Linked DNA regions of Danio rerio. The protein of the gene in region 7 interacts with the protein of the main gene of each other region in a pairwise test. Links are inferred from orthologs where the notes say so. Each region holds a gene or a part of one and is shown on either strand. Other genes may lie near its edges.

Region 1 (3,983 bases), on a different chromosome or scaffold from region 7:
AGATTTAATTTTATTTTAGATTTAACATTGTACATAGTTAAATAAAATAAATCTTTACTAAATTTAGAAATGGGGATGCAAAGTCACAGGTGTTAAAAACACACGCAAATAATAAACTTTTATTATGGTTAAACTCCACAAACCTCGTGTTTTGCGAACTTATGGCCAATTATCATTATGCTCAAATACAATCCCAACATATAAACTCTCAACATTGCATATGTAATGTAACTATTGAGAGATGGTGAGATAGCCAGACAGACAGACAGGATGGGTGAGTGTATAAATGTATAAAAGACTCCTCAAATCCCTTCTTTAAAAACTTTTTTCTCTAATATGTCAAAAAAATAATAATAAAAGGAATTTTCAGTCTGACTTCAATCAATGCTCAGATGCTTGTGATAGAAAAGTATGAAAATAAGCACATATTTAACAAAACAATGCCTTATTTGATTAAAATGTAACTTTTTATACAGCTGCAATGCAAAATGAGTTTGAAAATCTTAATGTAATCGAAAATAAAAAAAATAGTAATAACTCTTAGCTGTTGCCTTTTTTTACCCTATCCAGCTGCACTATCTTGCCTCTACAGTCTGACAGGCGCTGTGTCATTAATTTTCATACTCGTGATCCCCGAGATTTTATGATGTGTAAGATGAGAAGATCAACGAGAGACATTTGTGAACCGACATGCCACAAGGGAACATGAACTGAGTGACACTGCAGGGCTGCCTTGTTTTTTTCCTCCAGCAGGGTAAATGAGGACACAGCAGTGAAGATGAGACTGCCGCACCATGATTATACTGTACCTCTGATTTGCTCAATGATGTTACTTATCTGGAACACACACTTTTATCAAAACATGTGCCCAGAACACAGTGTGATTACTAAATAAAAAAGTCCTTCCAATTTTAACTACACAAGATGACCTTATATATATGTTATGCAACTCAATGTTTTCTTGCCTGCCACTTGATTTTTATGAATCAACAATGCATTTAAATAATAATAATAAGAATATTTTGATGTGAGAAAAGTTATATAAACTCATATAAAAAGGACAAAGATTATCTCTTTTAAATCAGGAATCACCAGCTGATGTAATGTAATACTGTTTATAACCCGAATAGAGGAATTTGTCGACATCCAGACATTTGGAATAGAAATTCAAGGTTCTCCATAACATAACATACTGAACTTAATGTGTCATGGTTATATATGGGTATTCAGGATCTAAATAGGACAAAATAAATGAATGAAAATGAATATAAATTATATATATTACACACACACACATATATACACACACAGACACACGCACGCACACATACGTGTGTGTGTGTGTGTGTGTGTAAATATATATATATATATATATATATATATATATATATATATATATATATATATACACACACACACACATATATATATATATATATATATATATATATATATATATATATATATATATATATATATATATATATATATATAGTCTGCAGTCTTTTCAGTCCAGCTGCTTTTGAATTTTGGTATACAACTTGCACTTCTATTACGCCTTTTGATAAACTTAGTTGTTAGCATAAACACCCAAAAATACACTCATAAAAGGTAAAAACTGATAAAAAACGTTAAATACAAAGTAACAATTCATGCCTGTTTTGACATTGCAACCTTTTTCAGCTGTTGTTTACCAAAAGCGTTTTAGGATTTAGGTTACTATTCAACCAACAGGACATGACAGCCCTCACGCATCGGTCTCGTGAATAAACAATAGAACATTATGGCTATAACGCACTGTTCTACTTGTTATTATAAAACTCACTTTGATTCAGATTACAAAACACTCTCTGTGTCACGACCTGCCTTACACAACGCGCGGCGAGTGCGCATGCGCCATGCGAACACGTTTTGTAATGCAGCCACTCTCCTGTTACATGACCGCGGGGGGCGGGGCTAATATGTAAGTTACAGCTGGCCATCCAAATGTTGGTCAGTGGAACTCCTTAAACCTCCTATTAATAATATAAAAACTTGACCCAATTACCCTTCCGACAGTGCATATATTTTACAATAATAATAACAACAACAATAAAACAGGAGGATGCGAACTTACCATAGTCTAATAACCGACTCGTTAGTGCAATCGCCTTGTCGTACTGTTTACTCTTCAACAGGCTTTCAGCTTCCCCTAAATATTTAGTTCTTTTGACGTCTTCTGGAAACCACTTGTCTAAAAGTCCACACAATATCACATTCAGCCGGGGTTCACCTGGCCTCCTCCTAATGTCCTCGTTGCACACTTTGCATTGAGAAAAAGTGCTATGCTGTAAACATCTCCTACAATACGTGTGTCCACAGGTCACCGTCACGGGCTCGGCTATGAAACAGTGGCAACCAGGGCAGTCTAATTCACAGTCCTGTGTCCAGTTCGGCTCACTTCTCGCTGGCGACTCCTCTGATTTCTTCTTGAAGTTGCGCAGGACGCATCCGACCAAACTGCTCAGCTGCTCCGGCCTGACAGGACCGTATCTGAGAGCCATGGCGAACATATCGACAGCCTCTTTGAGACGGTTTTCCGACGCTAAAGCTTCAGCTTTGAGCAAAACAAGTTGACGGTGATCGACATGCTCGTCCACGTCCCAGTCGCCTTCAGTTTCGGATGGTATAAAAAACCGTCCTCTCTCCTCCAAAGCGTAGTCTTGGTCTAGTCTCCGCAACGACATGTTTGCGAGCGACGCCCACTGAACTGGCAAAATATAATAAATGATAAAAATGTCAAAGCATTCTTACGGTTAACAGTGTAGAAGAACGTAGTGACTCGCGCTCCTAAACATACTGGCGTTTTGTCCGCGAGTTACGTAAAAATACACTCACGTGACCGTGAGCGAGCGCGTCCATTGGCAGCCGAGGCGCATTACAAAACATGAAGCTCGGAGTTTTGTAACGAGCAATTCGGGACTATAGCGAGAAAAAGGGCTGATTTGAAAGAATGCATGCATATAAATCCAGAGAAGTCAGCGTGTCATCAGACTATCATGTGTTATTCACTTTTATGCTGGGCGTTTTGGTGGAAAAAACATTTTAACTGACCGGACATCGTGTGTGATATAACATCAGGATTTGTTTTGCGTGTTTCACTGATGTGTATTTGTTTTGAGAAAAGAGATCAATGATTTCCTGTGTTAACTAAATGTGTTTGTGTGAATTGTCTAGGGGCCTGGCATATAGGTTGAATGTCTGGGTCTGTTACTCAACAGTGTTAAGTCTGTCGGAATGTCGGTAGTCATGTAATATATAGGTCAACACACACATACGTAATTCCATATTGCACAAGAGATAAGTCTGATAACATTTTCCCATTGCAAAGCATCAGTGGCCGATAGATATGCGTAATTCAGGGTTGGGAAATCATTTTTATGCGATCACCACTTTATTAAGTTAAGCACAATGTGTGATGCTTGCAGTGTCATATGACCTTGAAGAATCAGTCTAGTATGCTGATTTGCTGTGATTTCAGGATTGAATTATTTGAAATAAAATCTTTTGTAACATTATGAATGTATTTTTTCTTTCTTTTGAAAAAATGTTATATCAGTGTTGACTAAAAGAGCTGGAGTTTTTTTAAATAATATATTATTACTTCAACAAAAATATGAAGCAGCCACTTATCAAAAAGTGTATATAGATCAGTGGTAGCATATGAGGTGCCGTATAGGATTTAAATCAAACAATTGCTTATCAACACATACATAAAACACGTGTATATACACCTATAAATTACTTGCATATACACCTATACTACTGGATGTTCAAAACAACATGGATGAAACTTTTTGTATATACATATAAACTTGACGCATGAATACACCCACATACACACGCACATACATATAAACTCGATCCTCACATAAACACCCACATTAACACACGCACATACATATAAACTTGCTGCATGCAAACACACCTATACACACTCGCAT
Region 2 (3,201 bases), on a different chromosome or scaffold from region 7:
AATGTTTTATTTATAATAATTTATTTATTTTAGTGTCCAATTTATTAAACATACAGCGGTCACTTTTTGGACATTTTTAAAAATTAACGCAATAGTTACTTTCGCTGGTAATTAGTTAGTTTTATAATGATGTAATCCAGTTACTAACTTTTTTTACTTACTTTTTATGAGAAGTAACTAGTAACTATAACAAATGTTTTACCTTAAATCAAGCAAAATAAACTGCCAATGGCATAAGCAAAACAATTTTGGTTTCAGTTTGAAATAAGAACATTTTATTTACCCTAATGGAAGATTATTTAGCTAGTTTTAACAAAAAAAAACTCAGATAATTCTGACTTACTGATTCTGAAAACAAAACAATATTTTGAATTTGTGTAGAAAGTGCTTCTTGACTGAAGAATTTTTAGATATCTGGCCCGAAAACTGGACAAAAATCCTAAGCAAGTAGAATTTCTTTTAGTTTTTTTTTTTTGCAGTGAGTAAAGCTCAAAGAGGGCTGGCAAAACAAGTGCTAGTATTGCATAAGTTTTCACAGGAGCGTGAAAAGGATTGTGGGTAAGAGAGTGCTGTGAGGAGCTGGCTGGTGGCTTTTACCGGGCGGTGAGCAGAGTAAGTGGTTATCTCACGCTTTGAGACATGTGCAGCGGAGTCAGCATCTCCTCAAAGATGGCTCCTTTCACATTTGAACCACGCAGATTGGCTTCCTGTAGATCACAGCCTGAGAGATCGCAGTTCTGAACACACAATCAAATAATCAAGAGTAATTTTAAGCAGGATGCTAGTGTCTTGAAAAACAACTAGTCAAATATTATTTACAATCATCATGGCAAAGATAAAAGAAATCAGTAATTAGAAATGAGTTATTAAAACTATCATGTTTAGGAATGTGTTTTAAAAAATCTTATCGTTAAACAGAAATTGGTGAAAAAATATGCAGGGCTCATAATTCTGACTTTAATTGTTCATATTTTTCTTCTTCCTTTGAAAAATCTCTAAACATTTTCAAACATTCAATCAACACTGCCGTCTCACCTCTAGATCTGTGCCGGCTAATGTAGCACCACGCAGGTTACAGTTCTTTAGCTTAGCATTCTTCAGCGTAGCCACACGCAAATTTATCCCAGTCATCTGACTGCCCTCCATGTCCACTCCTTTCAGATTAGCCCCTAAAGCGCACAGCAAAAACATTGCTTAAAACATGGCAGTTCAACATTAAAGGCACAGTTCACCCAAAAACTCTGGACCTTTTATCTGCTCATTGTAATTGGGATAATGAGGAAATAACACACACCCGACCATGGAACAGTTTAGAAGCCAAATGTCTGATTACTTTTGGTCCCTTAACAAGTGGGAGGCGCATATGCAAACTCTTCCTACAGCGGTCACTTGATTTGGATGTTAATACGCTCAAATTAAAGCTGACACTCTGCAGTTAAAACACATCTTGTTGGTTTTATTTCAAATCGGTTGTGCTGGTGTATAGAGCTAAAAATGTTAGAATTGTGTCAATGTCCAAATACAGTTGAAACCAGAATTTTACATACACTCTGAAAAAAGGAACATAGCCATTTTTTTTAATGTCTGGTGTTAAATCATACTAAATGTTTACTATTTTAGGTCCGTTAGGATTACCTAAATGATTTACATTTGCTAAATACCAGATTAATAAGATTTTTTTTTTTAGATTTTTTTTTTTTATTTCTAGACAGTCAAAAGTTTAAACACATTTCCTTGGTATTTTTTTTTTTTTAGCTTTGCTTTAAAACTGTATACTTTGGTCAAATGTTTTGGGTTTTCTTCCACAAGCTTCACACAATAGTTTGCAGGAATTTTGGCCCATTCCTCCAGACAGAATTGGTGTAGCTGAGTCAGATTTGTAGGCTGTCTTGCTCGCACAAGCTTTTTCAACTCTGGCCACACATTTTCTATAGGATTGAGATCAGGGCTTTGTGATGGCCACTCCAAAACATTCACTCAGTTGTCCTTAAAGCACATTTTAACTCATTTGGCAGTATGCTAAGGGTCATGGTCTGTTTGGAAGATCCATTTGTGGCCAAGTTTTAATTTTCTGACTGATGTCTTGAGATGTTGATTCAGTATTTCTCCATAATGTTCTTTCTTCATGATGCCATCTATGCTGTGAAGTGGACCAGTCCTTCCTACAGCAAAACAGCCCCACAACATGATGCTGCCGCCCCCATACTTCACAGTTGGGATGGTGTTCCTAGGCTTGTAAGCTTCCCCTTTGTCCTCCAAATGTAACACTGGTCATTATGGCCAAACAGTTCAATCTTAGTTCCATCAGACCACAGGACATGCCTCTATAAAATATTCTTTTCCCAGTGTAATTTAGCAAATTGTAATCTGGCTTTTTTTTTTGTTGTTGATTCTGGCTTGTTGATTTTCCCATGTTGTCACACAAGGAAGCAGTGTGTTTGAGGTTTTCCTTAAATACTATTCTACAGTTGTGACTCCAATTAACTCAAATGTTGTCAATTAGCCAATCAGAAACTTCCAAAACCTTGACAGCATCATGTGAGGTTTTTCAGAGGCAGAATAATCTTACTGTATGTGAACTTGAATTTCAATAAAAGTTAAAACAATTTCTCAAAAAAATCTCTCTCTCATTATTCTGCTATTAAGCAGAACAGAAACAAATTCAATAATTCTAACTTACCTAAAAGAGAAACAGTTTAGTAAAAAAAAAAAAAAACCTTTTTTTTTAAAATATGTTTTTTAAATGTGCCTTTTTATACAGTGTATGTAAATATAGGTAAATAAATATTCATAAACACATATAAATGTTCACACGTTTAAAAAAAATCTAAAATCTAAACATTCCAAACCTTCAAGGTGCTGACGACGTTAAATGTGTCATAATATGTCATGTGAAAAGGGTCCATCAGCTTAATTCTACTAGATAAAATAAACACTGGATTTAAATATGCAGGAGTTTTACCCTCTAAATTGGCTTTAAGTCCAGAGGGATCCTCAAAGTTACATCCTTTAAGAGACGCTCCCTCCGCATTGGAGCAGAGCATCTTCACGCCCTGAAGATTAGCACCCTGGAGAACAGGATCATTTAACAAACTGAGAGATGAAAAAGAAGGAGATTTGTCCCAGAGCAAGAGATAAAGGGCTCACATCCAGGTTGGCTCCCGACAGGTCGGCTCTCTCTAGGTTTGAGCAGCACAGGTT
Region 3 (4,072 bases), on a different chromosome or scaffold from region 7:
AGACATGCGAAATTGCATCACGTGACTGTGCGAGACGAATCGAAAATTCAAACATGACCTCTCTGCACAGAAACGTAAAATATGGACCAATCGCTTGCTTTTATAACTGTCTAATCATCTTGTTTAATCCCACCCCTTATCGCTGCTCTGTACGACAGAATTTCGCAAGCTCAAACTCTAATGTGACCGCGGATTTACTTGGCTTTCAAGAAACATCTGTGCAGGTGTGTTGAGGCAAATTGGAGCTAACATCTGCAGGACACCAGCCATCCAGGACCAAGTTTGAGAAGCCCTGTCCAGGGCTCTAAATTAACCTTTTTACTTGGTAGCACTGGTGCTCCCATCTTTAAATATTTAAAAGCCTCAGAAAAAATGTAGGAGCACCCACCAAAAATGAATGAGCACCATTGCAAATTGTATATTAAGGGATTTATTGTATTTGAAAACAACATCAATTAGGACTAACAAAAAGCAGAAACAACTATCTAACTAATGCTGTGATGACTTAATATTTGTGCAATAATTCCAAAATGAATGTCTAATAATTATAAAATATTAATGATAACGATGATGTCAATGATGCTAACAATGCTTTACATTTCTCATTATGATGCAGCCTTGAATGTGCTTGAGTGCGAGTTATTTGCTATAAAAGTCCCACTGTTAATTTATGAAAAACACATGTATGGTTTGCATCAAACACAAAAGAAGCATTTGAGTAAGAAATATTTATTTTGCACTATTGTTTTCATATGCGTGTCAATTTAATAAATACTATTTCTGCTACAAAACAAACGAAAGATTATAATAAATCATTCCATTCAATGCTAAAAGCTGCAAAGCAGTCAACAGTAACTAAATAGAAAAACAATATACATCTCACGAAAGAACAGACAAAAGAAAGTAAGAAAAGTCTCTCTTTTAAAAGTTTGGGTTTGTGTCATTTTAATGTTCAGTTTCGTTATGAGCTGATTTTCATTTTTCTGTGTTTGTGGAAAGCAGGTGAGTCAGCCGATGCAATATATGAGGGGGCAGAGCAGGATTTTCCCGATGACCACTGGTGCAATACCGCTCTTTGTTATAAGCCGCATCAGTTTAAACTTAGTAAAGCTGAGCTTCTTTGGTGATGGTGTGTAAAGTGTTAGATTTTACATTTATCGTACATTTGTGCTGAACACGTAGTGAATGCAACGCATCGAGATTCAGTGTACTTTTCACTCTTCAGTCGTTTGAATTACCCGCGGTCACAAAAGCTCCCAGTCATCTGACAGCGGAAAGTCTTGAGTGATTGACAGCTAATATGAACCAATATAGCGGCAGAGAAGAGCGATTCAGCACGTTTTTAGAAAAAAAAAATCTAAACAGGTCGCACTACACCCATTATATGCAGTCGCACAAATGCTCGCAAATATATTATGAGGTTGCATAGATTAAATGTCGGGCGCGTATGCGACCAAAATGGTCGCAACTTCGAGCCCTGCTGTCATATCATATTGGTCATCCATTAATAGTCATTTTCACTTCATGCAAACACTCAATTTCTAAAAGAAAAAATTGTTTAAAACCAATCATTTCTATGAATATCTTAATATCTAACCTTACCCATTTTGTCATTTGTCAGTTATTTGAACAGAAAAATTAGAGTAGCACTTGCAGCACCATATTTTCATTACAACTTATGCAGCAAACGAAAATCACTACTTGGTGTAAACATTTGTCACAAAAATGTCAATTTACTTCATGCAACAAACCAATTTTATTTTAAGAATAAAAAATATTAGTAAAAGTGTTATTAACCCACCCTCTGGCTCTCTTCTGCCGTTCCAGGGGTCTCTGTATCGATCCGAGTATGCCTCGTCTTTCTTCCGATAATAATCGTAATCTCCACGATAATAACGATCATAACCTTCCTCTCTGTAAAAACACTGTACATTTAGACAGGAAAACTACTTAAATTTAGGAACAAAATTACCAAATCAATCTTAAAGGGGTCATGAACTACTTTTTTTGCACTCTTGTCTACTGAGATCCACTCAATGACTTTTAATAAAAACTTCACTATTTAGTTTTTAAAAAAGCGATTGGCTTTTTTCTGTCCTGTTTTTGACCCTTTCATCAGAAAGCATTGTTTGTTTTCTGATAATGGATGTACACTTTTTGGATAAAGCCCACTGCTCTGATGGCTAACATTTTTGAATATTAGCAGGGCTAAACAGGCAGTGAATCAGAAGTCAACCTTCTACAGAGGCAAAGCTTATCCACCCTATTACATCATAAAGGAGAACATTCCAGAACCTGTGGTTTCTTTAGACTGCCTTTTAATGCAAGCTGCTTTTAAACAAGCCACAAGTTTTCAGTTTTGAGTTCTGAAATGTTTTTGGATGTTTTAATAGTATGATAACCTCTTATATGTCAAAAGATCAAGGGTATTTTGGTTTCTCAGTTCATGACTCCTTTATATGTCCTGTTTGTGCACCTTAAGGAAGGCTCTTTCTCCCTGCTCTCAGACCCCCTGTATCGTTCTTCAGCTGGGGGTCTATCCTCATGTTCACGTGTAGAAGAGGGACGCGATTCACGGCTGCTGGCCCTCATCTCTCGACTTTCACGGTGGTAGCGAGAATCTCGTGCGTGCACCGGGGACCGAGAGCGAGGACGGGGCTCGCGACTCTCCCCATAAGAGCTGGATGGCCTGAACAGAATAAATACACTCAATCAACACATGACAACTAAACACGTTTCCCCAAAACTAATCTCTATTAAGACTACTAAAATTTACTTTGAAGTGCTTCAAAATGATTACAAGATTAAAATCAAATGGTAAAATTACACAATGAACATTTTGTTTTGTTGTACCGTACAAGCATGAGTGATGCCCGTCGCAAAATTCACGTCATTTATTTTATAAAACGAACCGTCGCACATTCTAAATATAACCCTTTCCTAAATTAAACTACATGTCGAACCTCATCTGTTTGTGATAATCATTAATATTTAGTTTCCACGAGTCATAAACAGTTTTTATTTACATTTTTTGCTAAATAAAATGCATTTGAACAAAGTCAAACAGCACATTTTTGTTGCTTCCACTCCGATCCACGTCAGCAAAATGATTTGCTAAAATAATAGTTTTAAAGCAGAGGTGATGAACAGACAAAGGTGGTGACTGGAAGATACACACCAACCTGACAACCTCCAAAATCTTACTTAGAAATCCAGCCATTAAGTGAACGACTGAAATTGTTTAAATTACTGTTCAGTTCTTTACATCCCATTCAAGTAAATGAAATTGTTTTTTTTTTATGTTTTAGGAAGTGATAATTGGAGTGTCGAGAACCCGTAACTGTTTGAAAACCGTGCATAGTAAGTGAACAGAATGAATAACACACCGTTTAGACAAGAACACACCAAGGGAAATGCACTCAAATTACCCTTTCAACTTTATTTCAATTAATTCTGATACAACTAAAAGGAAAATTGGAAGAAAAAAAAAAAAAAAAAACTGAACAAACTAAAAAGCGAAAAGCCACGAGAAATGTAAACTGAACCAATTTTGCGCACCCGACAATGATATTGCGATATTGGTGAATTCCGGTGTGGAGGGGAAAACGGTTACCAAAATTCTCGATAGATGTCGTCTTCAGTAGCAAAAAGATCCCAGCGATACATTACCTGCGTGGAGGACTTGATCTGGATTTATTCTGTCGTCTCTCAGCTGCCATATTTACATCTGAAAATAAACCAATCCAAACGTTCAACATGACAGATGACGGAAATATTTCAGAGCCAAACGAGTGTTTGATTAACAAAAGAGAAACACTTTGTTCTGCATCATTTGTTTGTTTAAATTATAAGCATTTCAACAGTAGCTTAAAAGTAAATACTACAGTTTGTGAAGTAAACATTGTACTTATTTATTGTTTTATTGCCATATCATTATGGCAAAAACACAAATATTACATTAACACAAACAAACAGTAAATTACAATAATTGAAATTATTTAAGGTTCTTTAATATGTATAAAATATTCTAAATAGATTTTTACCCGAGTACCCGATAACTTTCTAAAATGTA
Region 4 (2,693 bases), on a different chromosome or scaffold from region 7:
CACTGAATAGAGTCTATCAGTTTTTTAAGCACTTTAAGCTCTTATTACTGTATGTTTGTTATTATCAGCAATATTTGCTGATAATAACAATAAATACTCCCCCTCCCCCTCCAAAAAAGTTCTGGCTCAAGATTTTTTATCCTTAGTATTGTAATGTTGAGCTATAGTTGCCCTTAGGATTGCTAATTTCCTAAAAAGTAATCTGCGCTTTTTTGCTATTCTGGTACATTTGATAGTGAAAAGGAAATAAATGTGCACAGTACTGAACCTTACCACTCAGAGGTAATAAGCAATAGATACAGCTAGACAGACAGAAATATGTATGCATATATATATATATATATATATATATATATATATATATATATATATATATGAATACATTATATGATAACAGGTTAAATCCTTTAATAGACATTAAAAGGAGTCCTAAATGTTACACCTTTACAAAAAAAAAAAAAAGAAAAGAAAAGAAAATGGAAAGAAACAATGTGCACATATCAATTGCTATTTTTTACTCAGAAACATGAAACTGACAGAAGTGAAGCTATATTAATCAGGTAAACATGAAAAAAGCACTGGACATTGTTTTCTCCTTAGTAATGCGAGCCCACAATCTTCAATGTAAAAATTAGGTACATGTAAAAATCACATCTGAGTAACAAGCCCTACAATGAAAAACTAGTTACTTGGGTAACACTTTAGTTAGGTCACAATTCATGTTATTTACTACTGACTTATTACCTGTCTATTATTAAGACAATAACTGTTCATTCGTAGTCAAAGTACAATCTTTTGCATTCCTAATCCTACCCAAATCCTAATCCCCAACTTCTACTATACTATTAATAAACAGGTAATTAGTAGTGTATTAATCTAATAGTGCTAGTTAATAAATTGTTTATAGTGTGGAATGTGATCAACTAAAGTGTTACAATCAATTGTGCTCTTGTTTGAGTGAAGTATTTCTAATCTAGTGTAAAGCAGCAAAACTTACAACATTGTGTAACTTATGTATCAGACCCAAAAAAGCTCATCTCATCAATGGGGATGACAGTTTATTTTTGCAAATTCTTGTTTCTCATAATTTGGTCCTGTTTTTTTTAAATGTGTCCCTTTACAGAAAAAAAGACTTCAGCTTGCTTAAATATGCTTAAAAATTCTTTATGACCTCTTCATGAGTTTCCTGTGGGTTGCTTGTTCACTCAGCTGATTCATATCTGAAAAAGAAAATAAGGCACAACTGTACATTAATTATTTTTTTTCAACAATATCATTTTCTGAGCAATTATATAATATAATAATTGGTATATTATATAGAACTCATTATATTTGTAATATATATTATATTTATATTATTATAAATTCTAACTGTACCTTAGTAGTCTCTTTCTCAGGTCTTTAATCTGTTCATTCTTTTTATTGAGAATCTCCTTCAAGTTGCGGTACGCAGCTGTCTGCTGAAATTTCTTTTCCAGTTCCTTAATGGATAAAAAAGCATAATATGATTTATCAAACACATGACGCTTTACATAGTTTTTGTTTAAGTTTGCCTTGTTTATTTAAATAAAATAATAATAATAAAACAATACACACACAAATACATATAAATAAAAAAATCATATATATATATATATATATATATATATATATATATTAGAGGTGTAACGATACACCGATGGCACGATTCTGTTAGGTTCACGGTTTTAGAGCCACGGTTTGGTTTTGTTTAGGTTCGGTTTCTGTTTGCTGTGGGGTTAGGGTTCATGTCATCTTAACAGCAGTGCTAAGGAACAACAGATTCACTTAATTTATTAACTTTGCCATCACATTTTTTGAACAGTCCGGATACCCGAGTAAACTAGAAAAATTAAATAAACACCTCCAATATAGACTAGTCAGAAAAAAATATTCTCTTTAGTGCAGCCATCTTAATGAAGTAAACTGAAATAAAATAAATAACTGCAGTGTAGACTAGTAAAAGATAAACAGGCTTGTCCTTTCTAAGGACATTTGTAATATTCAATTAAGTTAAGTTCTTCTTCAAAACACCATGATGTTCACATTCTCAGGTGAGAGGCTTGATCTTTGTGCTAATCTCTCGCTCTCCCCATGCCTGTCATTTCTGTAGGTCTGCCTTCATGACAGCTGAATGGTGGGGAGACCGATCTATCATCATTGGGCGATGTGGAGTGGTGATATAAAATGGACGTCAGGAAAAGCGAAGAGGAGCGCTATTTCCTTTGATCCTGTTTTCAATGTATTTTGCTGACATGATTATGATTTTTGCATAAATTTCGTTTTGGTAAAATGAAGTTGCATTACTTTTGCCCACTTTGAAAAATGTTGTGATTTTTATTTGTTTCATTTCATTTTGATTGATTAGATTGTTTGCAATTTTTGGTTCAGCTCTTTCCCGTCAAATTAAGCTATAGGCCTACCTCCTCAGGTTCACTCTTTTCTCAGAGTAAGGTGAATAGAGAAGATGTCATATAACTTTCATTTAGCAAACATGTAGAAAATGTATTGTTAAAGACATCAAGTAAGAGGTAAACATCAGCTTTTTATTATTTTTTTCTACAGTTTAGTATAGGGAAGAATATGGCGCATCACACTGTAGAGCTTTCTTTTCCTTACTTTTCTTTTCACCAGTTTCTAGCGAGATAAGTTGCTATTCATGAGTTAGAATTGTT
Region 5 (3,500 bases), on a different chromosome or scaffold from region 7:
GAGACTCTCTTCTTTATGCCAATCTTTGAATTGTATGAATCGGATCAGCGGATCAAAAGTTATTAAACATTTAAGAGCAATACTTATTTTTAGCCGCGGGCGGCTGTCTCGGTCTTTAAGGGTTAAAACCGTTGATATGCAATTGTTCATGGTATGATAATCGTGCACGTTCAAATCGTGGTAAACCGTCATACCGGTATATTGTTACAACCCTATACATATATATATATATATATACATACATATATATATACATACATATATATATACATATATATATATACATACATATATATATACATACATATATATATACATACATACATATATACATACATATATATATACATACATACATATATATATATATATATATATATATATATATATATATATATATATATATATATATATATATATATATATATATATATATACACACAAAAAGTCAACATATGCACCTTGTCCTTGACTTTTACTACACGCAGCGCACGCACATGAACAGTGAGTAAGAGAGGATATAAAAGCAAACAAGCTCTAAGGTAAAACCTGACGCTCAAGACATAATCTTTAAAATAATGACTTCTATTACAAATGTAGACAGTGGTTTGTGATATAAGAATTACAGCGGAGCATTATATAAATGCACATTTCCATAGAGCGCTTTTAGGTAGCCTGATATTTTTATTTCTTGGAAGAAAAAACATGGCAAAAAAAACAGCCGATGCTGGTTTTTAAAAAGGATTCAGTCAGTGTTTTCATTTTGTAATCTAAATTTGTAATTTAAGTGAAAAATAGGTAGACCTATTTGTTTTATTCTTTTTATTTAGCTTATTCTTGTTTCTATACTGGCGAAAACACTGCAGGTGCGTGAAAATGTTCTGTTGATAATATGTTCACATGTTAAAATCAATCAGTATTTTAAAATGCAATATTTATTGTGTCAGAAACAAAATAGACACGTTAATTATTTTGTTTTAAATTAAATAATAATTTGATATTAATCTGACTAGTTAATGGTTAATATTCAGTTAACAAGCAGCGGTTTCTGGTTGGCAAAATTAACCAAAATGAGCATCCCTAGTTGCTCTGCAGACTCCAACTGCAACACATAGCACTGCCTGTATTAAACATGCACACTGATTTGATGTGGGAGTAAAGGTATTTAAACAAATAGCTTAAGGTGAAGTAATATTTAAAGTTTTTATACAAGTGTCCTTGTATGATTACAGTTAAACCACTGAGAATGTCACTCTGAATGTTTTGGCAATGTTTCCGGTGAATTTTCTGGGCTTTGAATGTCTCTGGGCCATTACTGTCTATGAAGGGTCACTGAGATCTCATATTTATGTTACAAGAAAAGGTCTCAGGGGATAAAAACCACAATTGGTAGAGCAATTTAAGCCAAGAACAACACAAACATGTTTTGAGATCAGTGACAATTTTACTGCTAAAAGGTGTAGTATAGTGGTAAAGTACAATTCATGAATCTTCCTTTCATAATAATCTCCTCCTAATACTTTCAGAATACTCCGATATATTGCTATGTTTCTCACCTCGTAGGTCCCTGTTGAAGTCGTGCACCCTGCGCACCTCCATCTCCAGCTTATTTCTCATGGTCTTCTCAAGAGCTTCCCTCTTTGTGGATGATTTAGCCAAGTTCTCGTAAGCTTCTGACACCATCTGGATCTCAGTCTCCATCTGTAAAGAGATTACATTGCTGAGGCCTCACAGAAACAACAAAACAGATTTTGTACAACTAAAACATAGCATGCAACATTGCCTTCCACTTTTGATGTGTCACTCTTGATGTTGATGTCACTCTTGATGTGTCACCTAAAAATCTTTTCAAAGCTTGTTGAATCAAAAGTTTAGATGGTTATCATGCCAGAGTTGATCCTTGGTCATCTGAGAGCTTATTATAATATTTATAAACTCTTTTTTCCATAGAAACACCAAACACTTTTAAACATCTTTGTTATTAAACACACCTGATTCAACTCATCAGCTTGTAAGTAGAATCTACAGGACTCCAGAAACAGAATAATCAGATACCCAACACATCCAAAATGTTTTCTGTTGCTGTGCCTCCAAGAACAAAGTTGAAAACACTGACCTATCCTGAACTGACCTACATTTGCACTGACATGGAAATGGTTTCATTTAAGTGGATGTGGTACAGGTTATGACCTAAATTGAGCAAGCATTAAACATGTCTTTCTCTATCTCACTTACTCAAGGGTCCCCAATTAAATATTTGATTGTGTAATGGTAATGTAATGAGAAACTTCAAAGACAGTCATACCTTTTGTAGTTTGGACACTTTCTCCCCACACACCTCCAGCTCTTGCTTAAGCAAGCGGTTTTCTTCAGACAGCATATCCACCATCTGCTGGGCACGGGCAAGCATGGCATAAGGATCCCCCTGCATGGAGAGTGGATGTGAGTAGTGTTGTGCTGGACTCTGTTGCTGCTGCTGCTGGGGGCCCTGTTGGTGGTACTGGTGCTGGAGCATGTGGAGGCCCCTTGGAGCTGACCCATAATGATCATGTGGAAACACGTGGCTCCGTTGATGAGGAGGATGGCCTGGGCCGTATGGATCACCTTGGTGAGAACCAGGCCCCTGTGAGCTTCGAGCACCTATGGGGAAGGGTGGCTCTCCCGAATGACCCATTGGTGGAAGCGCATGGGAAGCAGCCAAGATGCTGCTGAGAGTGGAAGACTGAGCACGGGAGAGAGAGCCTCCAGACGTAACCGAAGATGAAGGGCTGTGGTGATGGACGGACCTTTGAGAGTGGCTTGAACTCTCCTTACTTGACCTATTGAGGAGCAGAATAATGAATTATACTCACATCTTGATTGATTGCAAGAGTAGTAGACAAATTCTAGAGAACTTTGTGACCTACAAAATAAATTTAAACTTGCATAACCAACGGCTTCTTTCAAGACATTCAGTCACTGTTGTGAAACGACTATGTACTGCATACCAACCGTTCACAAAAATATTTTTCACAGGTCAACATTCCTGGTTCTCTACAACAATAATGGACAAACTGTCATGCTGTGACATGTTGTAGATGATTATTTGAATTTGATATGCATACTTTTGCTATATGCCACACACTTGCTCTACAGTGAATGAATTCAGGGAAACAGGCAAAACTTGCTTTTCCCATAACAGGTTTCCTGACAACATGTCCCAGCATTTAAGGGAAGGGCTGTTTTGAGACTCATCACCTGAAGTTTTTTAACAACTGATATGCCAGGGAATGTAATATGCGCTGTAAGGTGCATCGCACCAGTTCCCATAAAGTCCCAAAATTCAGCCCACTTCTTAGCCTTTAAGGCACACTCACCGAAAAGAGCCGTACTCAGGTGGTGGCTGGTACCGGACATGAGGAATGTCAGTCCTGGCTGGTTGGCTTGTACCGCGGTGGTCTGGGTGGAAGTGTCCAGGCTCCTGGTGCTGAGGCTGATGGTGCTGTTGCTGTTTGGGTGGA
Region 6 (3,978 bases), on a different chromosome or scaffold from region 7:
TGCTGCTGCTGCTCCATGGAGGGTTGTGAGGTGAGCTGCTGGCCTGGTGTCTGCTGTATAAGAGTGGTGCCAGTGGACTGCACCAGCTGCGGCACAACCTGGACCATCTGCGGGGCGGGTGTCTGTTGTGGCTGCAGGAGCCCTTGCGGAAGTGGCTGAGCAGTAGGGGGCTGCGAGGAGGGTGTGATCATCTGACCATTACCAGCGAGAGCCACAGGAGGGATGGAGGCGGACAGGTGGGGCAGAGTTTTTGTTGACCCAGGTGGCACAGTGCTCAGGATCTGCTTGGATTGGGAGAAGTCAGATGGCAGGCTGCCTCCCTGGCTTAAGGGGTTAACATGTGTTGGTGCTACCTGGGCTGGTGCAGCTGGCTGCTGTGCGGGCGGATAGCCCATCTGCTGCTGGGTCACCACAGGCAGAGCTTGAGCAGGAGGGGATTGGGCTGCTTGGGCATATGTCAGTTTGGGCATATGAGAGGGTAGAGGTGCAGACGATTGAACAATCGTGGTCTGCAATCCTCCGATAGATGCAGGCGGTTGCTGCTGAATGTTTGCTGTTGCCGGCATCGGAGCTGCTGCATTCGTTTTAAGATGCACTTGAACTAAGTCTTGGGGTTGCATCTGAGACATGGGCTGCTGGAAGGTCTGCTTCACAGTAGAGGGGCCGCCCGTTTCACCGCTGCCCAGACTTTCAGTGTAATGGCTAGCTGAGCTGCTGACAGAGCTCCCGCTGACTGTGTCTCGGTCCTGTCCCGCCACACTTTCAGGCACACACTGACGGATACTTTCCACTGTTCGGGTGCTAGGGGCATTTTCAGAGGATGCCACATTTGGGGCTTCCTTATCATAGTACTCTGTACAAGTCCATCTACCCTTCTTAAAAGGCTCAGAGGTAGAGTCCAATTTGACCACTCTGAAACGTGAACTGGTGGAGGCAGGAGTAGGCACTTGGGCCTGCTGAGGCTGAGCGCTCATCACTGGGACAGAGGGTGCAGGCATTGCATGCTGCCCCATGACAGCTGGCCCCATTTGCCCTCCACCTGTTGACGCAACACTACCGGAAACCGTGGCAGCAGCGGTGATGCCCATGCCGATTATTCCACTGGGAACGTGGGTCAAGTTTGGGGTTTGGTTACTAATACTATTCAAAGCAGAGGAGTAGTTTACACTGCTACTATTGGTAGTCTTGCCACCCACAACAGGCACACTGGCAGAGTTTAACACGGAAACATTATTAGTTAAAGTATTACCAGTACTAATCGTGGCACCTGAAGTCACAGAAATCACTCCAGTTCCAGAGGCGAGAGTAGCCAAAGGCTGTCCGATGGCACTAGTTGTGCCAACAGAGGCATTCTCAATCAATCCCACCACATTTGAAGGCATTTTCTGGCCTGTGCTAGCCGAACTTGAGGTCACCACAGATGTGACCGGGGCACCCAAAGGTACCCCAATCAGTGTCCCTCCAGCAGGATGGGTTTTTCCAGAGGAAACAGGATTATGATGGTGATGATGGTGGTGGTGGTGATGGTGGTGGTGAACAGTTCCGTTAACCATGGTGCCATGCAGGTGTGCTTGGGTTATAATGGGTGGCTGGTTGGGTGACAGGGCACCAGGGGTCTCCGCCTCATGAAAATTATTCAGCGTCTCCTCAGAGGAGCTTCTTTCAGGACCTCCTGAATTGTTGGCCCGTGGAAGAGACACATCCATGATTTCAGAGGATGACAAGTCCTCTGTGTGGGACTCATCCAGGTCGTCACAACTCTCTGTGTCTTCTGTAATGCTGTTGTTGGTGCTCACAGATGTCTGCGCCGGGGTGACGCTGGTGATCTGGAAGCCACTCTTCTTCTTCATCTGTGCAACTGCAGTGGGCAACGTTTGGGGTAACATGGGTGTCTGCAAGGGGATACTCAGGCTATGCGGAGGGTTCTGGGGCCCGAGCGAGGACGCAGTCTGCGTTTGAGACTGAATCAGCACTGGTGGGGAATATTCATCCGCCAGCATCAAGTTGTTGCTATTAAGGCTGGTGCTTGCTGAAGTTGTCAATGTAGAGGAACCACCTACTGTGCTGCTGCTGTTCTCCCGTCTGGGTAAACTCATGGGGTAAACCATTTTTCGGGCGCTGCCGGAGTCTCCGGATCGTTCGTGGTGATTCATTGCTGGAGTATAGTCTCTGACAAAGTTATAAACGCAGCTCAAGAGAACAAGCTCTTTTGGGAAAGCAACTTCAAGCCGTTCGAGTAATTTCCACATAAAACCAACACGTTCTTCTAACTGCCACAATAATTCCACTTGAGGTGTATTTAAATGTCCACCATGAGGAGCAGGCTAATGCCAATGCTAAGTTAACAGTCGCTAGCGAGCTAGCCGACACGGATTCGCTTCGGCTGTTGTTTTCAAAGGTATATCCTCACTAAATCACTCAGCACACCATATCGGTGAAGTTTAAGCGTGCAGGAGTCGACACAGACGGCCGAGGCGATTAATATCCAACCTTATAACGACACGGTTTCTCCCCATCACAGTTCAAACTGCCAGGCGCATTTTCAATTGTTGTATCGCAGTCACCAGAGCACGAAATCACACGAAACTAAGTCCTCCAGCCGGCGTCAGATGACAGAGAGAAAGCGAGCAACTCAGCGCTGTCCTGCTTTATTCCATCCCGTGCTTTCTTTTGTTTTATTCCTGTGTTAGCGCAATGTCTCTCTCCCACTCTGCTCCTATTCACCAGCTGCCTCCTTGTAATGTAGCCTGTGCTAGTGCTATGAGCCTGTGACGAGTCCCCGAAAAGGGGAGGAGAGCGCGATAACATGGCGACCGCGCATGGCAGTTCACGTCCACCCGGCCAGACATAAAGCCCAGAGAGTCTGGCGAGGATGGGCGGAGGCGAGGAGGGAGGGGGGTTTCCAGGAGACGGTCGACGAAGAGTTCCGAAGAGGCCCGAGTGGAGCCGAGTGCGACCAACTGTGTTGGTTGAGGGGTGTTTCTTATTATAGCCTTCGGTAACTGTGGCAGCAAACACTCAGAATAACATCTTTTGTCCGCCGTGGTTATTATTATTTGACATTGAAGGAGAGACGAAAAAGGCAGGGCATAGATTTCTGGTTCCCAGTTTTAAATGTATAAAATTTTATATTTATAAAAATCGACTTCAGATTTAATTTTGAACATAAATTAATTATAAAATATAACCTACTACAGATTAAACATATGAACGATTAAGCAAAACGCTATTTTAAGTTAGCTGCTATTGTGTGTGTTGGCCTATACAGGCCAGCTACATCAACAAGATGCAAACAGACCTTGTGACAACAATGTTGTCAACATAGTCCAGAGATTTGTTCTGTTTTTACAAAACAACTCGTCTGAAAGAGAACCCAGATATTTCCACAGACAGAAAAGAGCAACCAAACACATCTGCACTGACACAGTTTTTTTTTTTCACACAATCTGATTGTTGCTGTTTGGGGAGCAGAGAACTAAAGTTCTAGGTGCAGCAGACACAAAAAAAAAACATTCAGCTGTTTTACTTTAACATGAATAATATCCAAAATGTGAACTCAAAATATATGCTTTGTTTCAGACAAGCTACACTATAATACAACAGGAATTTATTACATGTGTGCTGATCCAACTATATTTAGCTTTCAGCTGTGATTGTGAGAATACCATCTTTGTTGTCTGGAACAAGTTTCGCATTATAAACCTCAGATATTTATACCCACACTGATTATTTATACATTCTACCAGAAACTTATACAATCTGTCTCTGAAATAAAAAGATAAATGCAGTGAATAAAAACTTCTTCATCCCAACAATTTCTAAAATGGATTGATAGTGGATTTTTGTGAGTTGTTCAGGAAAGGAATTTGTCTGACAAATCATTTGGTTCTTAGATTTTTGTTCTCAGATTTTTTTATTTTTGTTTACAAACCCAGTCATTGTGTCATATGTGAAAATGTAATAGAATATGTGAAAATT
Region 7 (3,996 bases):
CTACAGCACTACAACTGCTTACACAGTTTCGCATTTCGGTTTGGTTGTTTGTTTAAATTCTGCATTTTTATTATCTGTACATCTGTGTAACTGATTTCTTTATAAAAATAATACACATCCTCGACAAATGACAACAATGGCTTTCTTTTCTGTGACCTTTCTACCTGACTATAATTAAGCCACATTGCCAACTGTTCAATTAGTAAAAATAATTTCAGAGTCAATAAATGTGTCTTTTGAGGCCTGCTTAGTTGCAGCATTCTCCATCATAATAGGATCTTTCCCTGAGGCTCTGTTTATGTACATTTTTCAACAACAACAACAAAAAATGTGCTGGAAAAAAAGCATTACTTTACTCCAAAGTGTTTAACAAAGTCTGAAAGGCTGTAAACCTCTCCATATCCCACTCGGGGATCCATGCAGATGAAGTCATCAAGATTCATTTTGGATTCTGAAAAGGACACGTTATACATGAAAGTGGAAGAAGAAATCAAATTATAGTATTTACTGTATATAAATCTGCAATAGAAAACAAACCTGGTGTCTCTAAACATGGATATGCTGGAGGTGGCATACGCCAATTCCCATCGGAGTCCTTCATATGAGACCGATCAGAAGCAAACTCCTTCAAATAAGTGTCCCCGGGTATGACTCGAAGTTTCCTAAAAGAGCAAACAACACTTTGATTACATTCAACTAAGACTGGCTATTATTATTATAAGGGTCAAAGACATAAAGGAGTTTAAGCATTTGTTAAAAAATATATATATAAAAATAATATTATTTAATGCAAAAGTAAATTAATTGACTATTGTCCATCACCACAATTTACATAAGATGACCTCTAAAATGTAGTTAAGTGTAACAGTAGTTTAAAATACTAAGTTATATTTAAAACAAGAATAATGTGAGGCCATACTAAATGGATAACAATGCAGCCTCAAAATACTAATTCATATTAAAATCTTCATTCAATTTTGTCCTCACATTTTATGATGTGCTTTTCTTTTATAAATTTATTAAGTACTTGTTACACTTATGTTATTTCATCTTTTGTAGAATGCAGATTAGACCAGATAATACTTGCCTCCAGTAAGCAGGTTTCAAATGCTTGTCAGACTGAAAGGCCTCCATTGAATAAACGTCAAGCGAACAAGGAAATGGAAGAATGGTGTCTAAATCGTAAATGAAGCTCGGTCCTTGTTTACTTGCGTGTAGAAGAATAACATGGTAATCCTAAATGGAAAACAACATTTTTATATCAATTAGAGACTACCATAAAATATGCATAGTTTTTATACATATAAAGTTCCTACCCAAATTACTGGTTCATCCCCTCGACTGGACTTTTGTTTCCAAATAGGTATCTGAAATATTACACAATTTTTAACACACATACATACTATATATACACTCATTGGCCCCTTTTGTTTGGCACACCTTACTAGTACCGGGTTGGACCCTCTTTTGTCTTTAGAACTGCCTTAATCCTTTGTGGCATAGATTCAACAAGGTACTGGAAATATTCCTCAAGAGATTTTGGTTCATATTCACATGATAGCATTACACAGTTGCTGTGGATTTGTTGGCTGCACATCCGTGATGCGATTCTCTCATTCCACCACATCCCAAAGGTGCTCTACTGAATTGAGAGCCGGTGACTGTGGAAGTCATTTGATTACAGAACTTCATGTCATGTTTTACAAACCAGTCTGAGATGATTTGCGTTTTATGACATGGTGCGTTATCCTGCTGGAAGTAGCCATCAGAAGATGGGTACACTGGTCATAAAGGCATGGACATGGCCAGCAACAATACTCAGGTAGGCTGTGGCGTTGACACAATGCTTAATTGGTACTAATGGGCCCAATGTGTGCCAAGAAAATACCCCCCATGCCATTACACTACCACCACCTGAACCGTTGATACAAGGCAGGATGGATTCATGCTTTCATGTTGCTGACGCTAAATTCTTACCCTACCATCCGAATGTTGCAGCAGAAATTGAGACTTATCAGACCAGACAACGCTTTTCCAATCTTCTATTGTTCAATTTTGGTGAGCCAGTGTGAAATGTAGCCTCAGTTTCCTGGTCTTTGCTGACAAGAGTGGCACCCATGTGGTCTTCTGCTGCTGTAGCCCATCTCCTCAAGGTTCGAGGTTCAAAGTTACTGGAATCACCTTTCTTTCCCATTCTTATGCTTGGTTTGAACTGCAGCTGATCGTCTTGACCATGTCTACATGCCTAAATGCATTGAGTTGCTGCCATGTGATTGGCTTATTTTTGCGTTGAGCAGCAGTTGGAAAGCTGTACCTAATAAAGTGACCGGTGACTGTATACGTGTGTGTGTGTGTGTGTGTGTGTGTATATATGTATATATATATATATATATATATATATATATACATATATATATATATATATATATATATATGTATGTGTGTGTGTGTGTGTGTGTGTGTGTGTGTGTATGTATGTATATAACAGAAAACTGTACATTTCATTAAATGTAAAATACTTGTGTGGAGATGAAGCTCACCTTCTTTCTTTCATTAGATATAAATACTGCATACACCTCTTCCAAAGGACAATGTCTCTGATTCTTGATATATTCACACAATTTCCACACATTCTCCTCACTGCAACAAACATTTAAATACGTGTATGAATACGGTACGTTTTAAATTTGAAATAATGTTACAGGTATTATCGCATTTACCAGTAACAGCTGGTGTAAACACATTGGTTTCCGGACGGGGTGATCACTTTATATTCAGACGAAGCGCTTTCTTCATTCATTCTTTCCTTCCTTATATACGTGTATATACAGTAGGTTTACGCGGACTTCCAGTTATAACGACATGACAAAAGAATACATGTGTATAATGATACCATAGATATTTACATTAATATTACAATGAAGCGATTCGCGTTGCAACCGCACTGTTGCTTGTTACAATGTATCTTGTCCGTAAGGAACTTCAGGGGATTTGTCGTTCCGGCGAGACAGGTGATGCGCGAACATTCACTCCTTATGTGAATTGCAAATGTAGCACTTGCACGATTATCAGCATAAATATTAAACAGTCTAACTTTCATAAAGCATAAGTAGAAAACACGTTAGCGAAAGATAACGTGCAGTTAGGCATCGTTCTCAACTCAATACAATTAGCCAATGTATTGGTTTCTAATTTCAGAGTATCTGATTGTATTTTGTTGCACGTTAATTCGTTTTTTGCCACATACTTGTATAAATGTTTGTGGATATCTATAAATTTTTTTTGTGAACTATATTTTGTTTTAAACTGAAAATGTGTTTCTGTTTCTAATGCATGTTTATCTCAAACCCTTTCATTTCTCTATACATGTTCACTCATTATAGAGTCCTGACAATATGTTTCAAACTATCAGTCCATTCAAATTGTCTACCAAAACCACAGTATGAGTTAATATTAAGGAGGTTAGCACATAGTCTAAATGAATAACTATGTAGTCTTGTCAAAAGTTGTCTTGGTTCACACTTGCTTTGGTCATAAAAAGCCACAAAATGTTCTAAATATATATGCGTACAAGATGTCTTTTGTAAAATAAGGTAAATATTTTTTTGGATTAAATATATCACATTCTGAGAGATGTATTTATTTACTTGTACAACTGTTTTATTACACTTTTTATTGTTTTCATAGGCTAAATCCCCATTTCTGAGCCACAAATAAACAGCTCTTTACACTTTTACCGTTTAAGAATCCACTATTTGCTAACGTGTTTGTTTAAAATGAAATTTGATAACATTCAAATACTTATGATGTTATAAAGTAAGCTAAACCAACAAATATTAACCATATTCTTTTAACAAGATGTATAGGGCCACCTATGTTTTGAGGTGTAGCCATCAGAAAAAGCCCACCATTAACACCTCGTTTTTAGGAATGTCTTTTACTAATGATCTCATTAGCACTTGTGGACCCACTGATTTGAGAGCTGGTGAACTGGAA

The links.
Region 1: the proteins of ntaq1 (region 7) and lonrf1 interact in binary tests that used the Homo sapiens proteins (3 or more experiments, as listed by UniProt). The two-hybrid records come from large-scale screens. The link is inferred for Danio rerio from reciprocal best matches to the Homo sapiens genes NTAQ1 and LONRF1.
Region 2: the proteins of ntaq1 (region 7) and kctd9a interact in binary tests that used the Homo sapiens proteins (3 or more experiments, as listed by UniProt). The link is inferred for Danio rerio from reciprocal best matches to the Homo sapiens genes NTAQ1 and KCTD9.
Region 3: the proteins of ntaq1 (region 7) and ncoa5 interact in a two-hybrid assay, tested with the Homo sapiens proteins (3 studies listed by BioGRID and IntAct). The two-hybrid records come from large-scale screens. The link is inferred for Danio rerio from reciprocal best matches to the Homo sapiens genes NTAQ1 and NCOA5.
Region 4: the proteins of ntaq1 (region 7) and lztfl1 interact in binary tests that used the Homo sapiens proteins (3 or more experiments, as listed by UniProt). The two-hybrid records come from large-scale screens. The link is inferred for Danio rerio from reciprocal best matches to the Homo sapiens genes NTAQ1 and LZTFL1.
Region 5: the proteins of ntaq1 (region 7) and amot interact in binary tests that used the Homo sapiens proteins (3 or more experiments, as listed by UniProt). The two-hybrid records come from large-scale screens. The link is inferred for Danio rerio from reciprocal best matches to the Homo sapiens genes NTAQ1 and AMOT.
Region 6: the proteins of ntaq1 (region 7) and tsc22d1 interact in binary tests that used the Homo sapiens proteins (3 or more experiments, as listed by UniProt). The two-hybrid records come from large-scale screens. The link is inferred for Danio rerio from reciprocal best matches to the Homo sapiens genes NTAQ1 and TSC22D1.

Annotation. Positions count from the first base shown.
Region 1 is NC_133183.1:15,527,518-15,531,500, reverse strand, and holds the start of lonrf1 (LON peptidase N-terminal domain and RING finger protein 1), read right to left. Parts: upstream 2,801-3,983; 5' UTR 2,727-2,800; coding exon 2,117-2,726; intron 1-2,116.
Region 2 is NC_133183.1:61,414,462-61,417,662, forward strand, and holds the end of kctd9a (BTB/POZ domain-containing protein KCTD9a), read right to left. Parts: coding exon 3,148-3,201; intron 3,069-3,147; coding exon 2,963-3,068; intron 1,170-2,962; coding exon 1,036-1,169; intron 738-1,035; coding exon 621-737; 3' UTR 501-620; downstream 1-500. UniProt on the Homo sapiens protein: Substrate-specific adapter of a BCR (BTB-CUL3-RBX1) E3 ubiquitin-protein ligase complex, which mediates the ubiquitination of target proteins, leading to their degradation by the proteasome.
Region 3 is NC_133181.1:58,120,957-58,125,028, reverse strand, and holds the start of ncoa5 (nuclear receptor coactivator 5), read right to left. Parts: upstream 2,801-4,072; 5' UTR 2,690-2,800; coding exon of another isoform or gene 2,593-2,689; coding exon 2,477-2,592; intron 1,915-2,476; coding exon 1,802-1,914; intron 1-1,801. UniProt on the Homo sapiens protein: Nuclear receptor coregulator that can have both coactivator and corepressor functions.
Region 4 is NC_133199.1:12,588,448-12,591,140, reverse strand, and holds the end of lztfl1 (leucine zipper transcription factor-like protein 1), read right to left. Parts: intron 1,482-2,693; coding exon 1,378-1,481; intron 1,221-1,377; coding exon 1,202-1,220; 3' UTR 501-1,201; downstream 1-500. UniProt on the Homo sapiens protein: Regulates ciliary localization of the BBSome complex. Together with the BBSome complex, controls SMO ciliary trafficking and contributes to the sonic hedgehog (SHH) pathway regulation. May play a role in neurite outgrowth. May have tumor suppressor function.
Region 5 is NC_133196.1:41,177,330-41,180,829, reverse strand, and holds part of amot (angiomotin), read right to left. Parts: coding exon 3,357-3,500; intron 2,820-3,356; coding exon 2,306-2,819; intron 1,702-2,305; coding exon 1,557-1,701; intron 1-1,556.
Region 6 is NC_133184.1:20,416,153-20,420,130, forward strand, and holds the start of tsc22d1 (TSC22 domain family protein 1), read right to left. Parts: upstream 2,801-3,978; 5' UTR 2,250-2,800; coding exon 1-2,249. UniProt on the Homo sapiens protein: Transcriptional repressor. Acts on the C-type natriuretic peptide (CNP) promoter. Acts to promote CASP3-mediated apoptosis.
Region 7 is NC_133194.1:37,454,721-37,458,716, reverse strand, and holds ntaq1 (protein N-terminal glutamine amidohydrolase), read right to left. Parts: upstream 2,801-3,996; coding exon 2,721-2,800; intron 2,641-2,720; coding exon 2,541-2,640; intron 1,368-2,540; coding exon 1,317-1,367; intron 1,237-1,316; coding exon 1,088-1,236; intron 663-1,087; coding exon 538-662; intron 452-537; coding exon 348-451; 3' UTR 332-347; downstream 1-331. UniProt on the Homo sapiens protein: Mediates the side-chain deamidation of N-terminal glutamine residues to glutamate, an important step in N-end rule pathway of protein degradation.